Linked DNA regions of Drosophila melanogaster. The protein of the gene in region 2 interacts with the protein of the main gene of each other region in a biochemical or structural test. Each region holds a gene or a part of one and is shown on either strand. Other genes may lie near its edges.

Region 1 (3,816 bases), on a different chromosome or scaffold from region 2:
TAAGGCATTTAGACAATAAAGACTTATTTAGAACGAATGTCTTTATAAGCAACTACAAGGTACTAGCAATTTTAAGGATGGTGGGATGCTTCTAGTTCTCCACTTCATGTTTATACAATACGGCTAGGTTCATCTCAATCGTGTTCACCTGATCCTGCAGATAGTCGATATCGTGCTCATGTTGCAATTGCTGCTTCACCAGGCTGGTGATGTCCTTTTTGATGAACTCCTCCGCCTCGGACAGCTCGAATTCCATTTGCAGAGATGCGCCCACTTGAAGGGTAACCTTTTGCACTGGCGGTATGCTCACCCATCTGAATACTCCCTGTGCGATTTGCACGAGGCTGTGAACTTCCTTGTCAGGATTGTCTATGAACCTCCTCACCAATTCCAAATTATTTTTGGCAGCCTCCAAACGGGTTAACACTGCTGTGAGGTCAGTCTCCAACTTGGCAGCCAGTTCGCTGTATTGCACATAGAAAAGGCGTTGCATCTTCAATGCCGCTGGAACAGTCGAATAGAACTCTGGCTTGGCGATGTAGCTGACGACATCGTCAACTAACTTGGCCTCTGGGATGGGCATAAATGACTTTCGGCCGCCCAGAGGCGGCTTTTTTATGGTGTCTATGAATGCAAACATTTTCAATAATTGTTGAACTTGTTTAGTACATCTAATTCAAAGATAAACTGATTTAATATCGTATGCAAATTAAACAGCATTATCTGCTAGAATGTATAAATTTTCTTTCTCTATTTAAAGTACTCCGCATTGCGTCAGCTTAAAATCCAGCATGGTCTTTATTTTGCAAAAAATGTTATTGTGATTTCTTAGACCTAGAGTACATATTAATGTATCAATAATTTAAAAGCGCATTCACATAGATCCTAATCAAATATTGTCATAGTCTTCGTCTAATTCGAAAACGGTTTCAGTGGGGGTCGCTGATGCCGCTGTGGCCTTTGGAATGATGGGAGCGCTGCTCTTTCCAGCCATTTGGTTCACATTATTGTTGTCCCCCGGCGTGGCCGCTGGTAATCCAATAGAGGCGGGGGGCACACCACTGCCAGGTGCTCCACCGGCCACGATATTCGTCAGATCGATATTGATCACCGGAGCAGCTATGTCGAAGTTAAAAGCTCCAGATCCGGCGCCCGATCCTGACCCAGAATCAGAGGCGTCCGGTGTGCACAGGTTCGCCGTCGGCATTTGCACGTGGCTGTAGTCGATCTTGACAATGGGCTTGTTGAGTTCGTAGTTGCAGATCGGGGCGGGTATGGCAGTATCGAGCTGCACCGACTGTTTCTTGAGGTGATTGGGCGGTCTGCCCCGTGGCGTGTAGGCCGGCATGGACCCGGAGCGGGCCAGCTTGGCGGGCAGGGTGGTGCTGGTGGTGGGAGTTTCCTGGGTGGAGTGCTGCGACTGAAACTGCCGCTTGGTGGCTGCGGCTCCTCCGCCCGATCCGGCTCCGTTGTTCAGACTCATGGAGCGCATGTAGGCAGCTGTGCCGTTCGCCTGCGAGCGCATTGACGTCGATGGCAGGCTAAGATCATATGGCGTGTCTGAATCTGGATACTGTTCCTCTGGCGAGCTGCGTAACACATCGTCCTCGTTGTAGGCGGCCTCCTCGGCCACACTGATGTCGGGTATGTTGCGGACCAGCTCCTTGAGGAAGTCAAAGCGTTTCTCGGATACGATACACTGCCTCATGTGCGATGGCGATAGCGTCTTGGCGTTGCGCGCATTCGTGATGCGCAGCGTCTTGGTCAGCAGCGACTCCACGAAGAGCTCCAGCGTGCGTGAGATGATAACAGGCACCGCCTGGGCCACCTTCCCGATTTCCTCGTCGCTTTGCATGATCTTCTTGATGCGACCCTGCAAGGAGTTTATGGTAATGGTTTGGAAACATTATAATCTCGCACCGGTTTGGTTTCTCCTCTACTTCTTTTGAGCCTCTGATTATGCGAGGCGTGTATGTACATATGTATGTACACATGCACGAAAACTGATAACCCATCTTCGGCGTTCACGGCCGCCAAATGGCTGGAGCTTTCCTGTCGCCAATCGGTGGTTTCAACTTACCGCCGGAAAGCGTGCGTTGTATTTTTTCTTTTTCGATGGCATTTTCCGATTTGTGAAGTAATCGTCAAGAGTCCTAGTGAAATAAAACAAATGTGTGTGTGTTTTTCACACAAGAACAGTTCCTTGGTGCCCAACTGTCGGCGTCGATGGGTGAATGGCAGTTGCTCTCGCAGCAGGCGGGGTATTCACAGGGAAGCAAAAGGTATTAATATCAAAATTTGAAAGATTAAAAATTTTTGTACATTATAAGAGATGTTATTTCTTTTTGTTGTTATTTATGTGATTGTTTTTTATTTTGCTTTGATGTATTAGGTTTCCTACACAGCTGACCGTCGCGCAGTCTGGCTACCTTGATCGTGCACTGTGAATGACTACAACCGCCAAGAAGAAGAAGAGTGCAGAACACTTCCAAGTACTTTTCACATATTGCAAGAGCGATTTAATATCGTAAGAATTCTGGGCAGGATTACATGTCTGACACTCGCAAGGATCCCTGCAAACCGAACGCCTGCCGCATACAAGCCTGTCTGACCAGTAAGCACCGCCGGTGACTCCATTTTCATGGTTATGTAAGCTGACTTGCACTCGGTTACAGAGAATCACTACCAGGAGGACAAGTGCTTGGATGTCCTTGAGGCAATGCGCCAGTGCTGTTTAAAGTGGCACAAGGAATCGCTTTGCTGCAGTGGAATCGATTTGGAGAAGACTTATCTACCAGACGCATCCAAGGAAAAGAACGCAACCGGCAAGTCGTGAGTTGTAGCCAACTTCTCTATTCCATATACACTATTATCAACTCGTTTTGCAGGAACAAATAATGTCCATACCGCAGTATAGGCCTCCGAAGGAAATTCAAGACTTGCTGGACCAAAAGGAGCAACAGCAAGCAAATCAGCGCAGGCGAACCGCTGTGCTACCCAAACGCACGTGGATTCAGCGAAATCCACGCCTGTTCCAGATCTCCTTCATCACAGGCTCACTTCTGATCTTCTTCTCCAAGCCCCTGTTTGACTGCTTTATCGCCGATCCCCTACCACCGCCGGAGAACAAAGTTCCGCCTCACAAGCGCTAAGCTAAGGCATGGAATCGGTGCGCAAAGCCAACCAAAGAATCCGCAACTATCCAGTTCTGCTAAGCAAGTGCGCGGACAAAGCCACTGCGTATGCGGTTTGCGTGTCGCGTGATCTAAACGTGCAGCACAAAATCTGCGACACCGAGTTCAAGGAGTTCCTAAGCTGTATCCGCAAGACCGCTTTGGAAATGAAGACCAAGCTTTAGACAAACGTAAACAATAAACACGATGACTCAAACAAAGGCTGCGACCACTGGATGGCAGCGACTGGGTCGCCGCATCCTTTACACTAGCTTTCGGACCCATCTACTAATATCCGCCCTGCTGCGAATAGCTTTAATTTGCTACGGACAATTACACGACAGTCAGTCCGCCGTGCCCTACACCGATATAGACTACAAGGTGGTGACTGATGGAGCCCGTCAAGTTCTGGCTGGGGACACACCCTTCGCCAGGCATACTTACCGATATAGCCCAATCATGGCATATCTGCAGACTTTTAACATCCTGCTTCATCCGGCGTGGGGTAAACTACTGTATGCGACATTCGATCTTCTCATCGCCACACTTATTTACCGTCTGGTGCACATGGAAATCAAGAGTCAGTACCAGAAGACCGTACAACACCTGCTTAGCAAGTTCAACAGGCCACGGGACTCGGACC
Region 2 (3,126 bases):
TCGGCGGCCACCATTGGATCCTATGTGTACATCGGCAAGAATGCCATCATAGTAAGCTATTACTTATTGTTATACCCTTGTAATCCATTTACTTTTACCATCTTTCAGGGCCGTCGCTGTGTTTTGAAAGACTGCTGTGTAATTGAGGATGGGGCTGTCCTGCCGCCAGAAACTACCGTGTCCAGCTACATGCGTTACACGGCGAGGGGAACCATCGAGGGTGGCCAGGGCAATCCGTATTTTGTGCCCGCCGCCATGCAGGACGAGATGATCAACTACACTAAGTCATTCTACGAGCATTTCGTGAGGGCTCCAGCGCCAGCCAGCTGAAAATCGTGGTGTCTACCAATTCCATCGACAGAAAACATTATTTATGAAATAAACATATTATATTAGTTATTCTATAAGTATGCGCATAGTTTGACTATTAAGTGATTAATCTATCAGTCCCGTTTCGCAGTCGTAGGCTTCCTCGCCGGACTCGAAAATGGGAAAACTCATGCCAGTACGACGGGCAATCACCGAGGCCAGTTCCTCGGAGTTGTTCTCCTTGCGCGGCTGGATGTATCGGTCCAGCAGAAGGACCGTGGCCGTATTCCGACAATTGGACACAGTGGCGGTTATGTGAAGCGGCGTCTGCTTGCCGTCCGATTCCGCATTTACATCGGCGCCAAACTGCAGCAGCAAATGGGCGCAATCCGCATTGTTCCACTTGCAGGCGGAGTGCAATGGCGTCCATCCCAGCTCCGTGCGGGCGTTGGGATTGGCATGGTACTGCAGCAGCAACTTGGCCATATCCACAAAGTTATTATAGGCAGCTCGGTGCAGCGGCGTGTATCCGTCGTTATCCTTGGCGTTCACGGTGTCTGCGTCCAGTTTTAGGATTTCCCGCACCTCGCTGATGCGGTTCTCGTTCACCGCCCACAGAATCATGCGTTCAATGCTGCCTATGATGATGTTTAATTAAACTATTTCTCTAAAATGTATTCTACTTACTTTGTGGGTTCTTGTCCTCTTCGATCAGTTCGTCGGCATCGTCGTCCCAGCCGCTCACGAACATTCCGCGCGGCACTTTGGCGTGGCGCAGCTTCTCCACCTGTGATTTTTCATCATCGGAATCGTAGTCCCCCATTTTGTGGTAATATATTAATAATAAGCCGGAATTTAAACAGCTCAACTTTTTGTTTTCTATTTCTCAAAGTGACCGTTGCTTAGCCGCTTAAGTACACTTAAAAAAATACTAAACACTTAAAAATATACTAAACGAAGAGTGGAGTTTTAAAAAGAACAGTACATTTGGTTTTTCAAATAAAAAAAAAAAAACTATTTATATAAATAATGGTAGGAATTATAAAAAAATTATTCTTTTATTTGAAAAGTCTGCCATTTAAAAAAAGGCTGTATTATTTATAATATTCATCAAAATCAAATTAATCAAAGATTATTAAGCCATTAAATTTGTGTTGAATACATAAATGATATACATCATTTTATATCATCATTTATATATTTTATTTTTAGCTATATATGCTTTATATAGTTCATTTCAATCAATTAATGATTTCATTTATTTACAAAAACAATAATTTTTCGATTACATTTTTCTGTTAGCAGTAAACGGCCACTCTAGCACACTATACTAGTAAATCCGAGAAAAACATCTGCTTCCAAGTTTGTTTGTTTGTTTGTTCCTTGAAACCAGGACGCCATGTCGAATCCGCAGGAAGAACTACTGCCGCCCAGCGCCGAGGACGACGAGCTGACCCTGCCACGGGCCAGCATCAACAAGATCATCAAGGAGCTGGTGCCCACGGTGCGGGTGGCCAACGAGAGTCGCGAGCTGATACTCAACTGCTGCTCAGAGTTCATTCATCTGATCAGTTCGGAGGCCAACGAGGTGTGCAACATGCGCAACAAGAAGACGATAAACGCAGAGCACGTCCTGGAGGCGTTGGAACGCTTGGGTTTTCACGACTACAAACAAGAGGCGGAGGCCGTTCTGCACGACTGCAAGGAGGTGGCAGCCAAGCGAAGGCGCCAGAGCACGCGCCTAGAGAACCTGGGCATTCCGGAGGAGGAGCTGCTGCGCCAGCAGCAGGAGCTGTTCGCCAAGGCACGCGAGGAGCAGGCGCGCGAGGAGCAGCAGCAGTGGATGAGCATGCAAGCGGCAGCAATGGTGCAGCGACCACCGCTGGCAGACGGCTCCGTTGCCAGCAAGCCAAGTGAGGATGACGATGACGATGACGACGACGACTACTAGTAGGAAATAGTCTTTCTATGAGCTTAGTGTAGATTTAATCTTAAAATATATGCCATAAGTTGAACTTTCAACTATTAGCTACTCTTCATTACGGATCATCCGTTTGTCCTTCACTCCAGCAGCCTGGGCACCGCATCCTCAATCTCCGAAACGACTTCCTTAGATGTATCGTAACTTTAATCTTTAAAAATGCAAGACTATTCGTTATTATATCAGCTGGTACCAGCCAGATTTTGTGGCTCCTCCGCCTCATTGTCATCCTTGCCATTTATTTGCATCTCCACCAATCGGGGAAAAGTTTGTGGTGCGTCGTATGTGCCTGGCACATATTTTCCCAATATTTCGGTGTGTTCCTTCCAGAACTGCGAAGATATCAGATCCTCGTGCAGCGGCACCACGGCCTGCCTGCTCTTCTCACCCAATATCACGCGTTTTCTCAGCAGAATCGTTCCCTTTCTGTACATTGCCGGCAGATTGTTGTAATTTATCCCGAATTCCTGGAAGAGCAGCTCATTTTTGTCCGCCGAAAAGGTGCCACGGAGTTTCGCCTCGGCTTGCTGGTTCGTCAGGCCTTTTTCCAAAACGAGTTTCCAAAAGGCGGTATTGTACAGGTTGTTCACATGCACATCGGCCTGTCGCCAGCTGAGATAGTCCTTTAGATTCTGCTCCGAAGGATACAGAACAACGCGACCATCGAAACACGGAGCATAGGCCAATGGCAGATTCATCCACTTGGACCATTGCATTACATAGCTCGAGGAGAACAAGCTGGTGACGTAGGTGAGCAGTTTGGCGGATCGTCGCTTGAACGCTGCCGTCTCTTTGCGAAAAACAAAGGAGTACTCATCACTTTGACCGTAGGCGAG

What was found.
Region 1: the proteins of NC2beta (region 2) and NC2alpha form a complex in vitro, tested with the Drosophila melanogaster proteins (one study listed by BioGRID).

What each region holds. Positions count from the first base shown.
Region 1 is NT_033778.4:21,668,553-21,672,368, reverse strand, and holds NC2alpha (negative cofactor 2alpha), read right to left. Parts: upstream 2,218-3,816; 5' UTR 2,123-2,217; coding exon 2,081-2,122; intron 1,874-2,080; coding exon 890-1,873; 3' UTR 776-889; downstream 1-775. Other genes in the region: CG15676 (uncharacterized protein), read right to left, coding at 92-640; CG42381 (uncharacterized protein), read left to right, coding at 2,551-2,614, 2,676-2,832, 2,889-2,898; CG42379 (uncharacterized protein), read left to right, coding at 2,898-3,152; CG42380 (uncharacterized protein), read left to right, coding at 3,161-3,358; PIG-M (phosphatidylinositol glycan anchor biosynthesis class M), read left to right, coding at 3,381-3,816.
Region 2 is NT_033779.5:15,006,210-15,009,335, forward strand, and holds NC2beta (negative cofactor 2beta), read left to right. Parts: upstream 1-1,603; 5' UTR 1,604-1,708; coding exon 1,709-2,260; 3' UTR 2,261-2,329; downstream 2,330-3,126. Other genes in the region: DCTN5-p25 (dynactin 5, p25 subunit), read left to right, coding at 1-51, 109-330; Ankrd49, read right to left, coding at 436-947, 997-1,132; THG (tRNA-histidine guanylyltransferase), read right to left, coding at 2,473-3,126. UniProt on the Drosophila melanogaster protein: Bifunctional basic transcription factor. Activates transcription of DPE (Downstream Promoter Element) containing promoters while repressing transcription of promoters which contain TATA elements.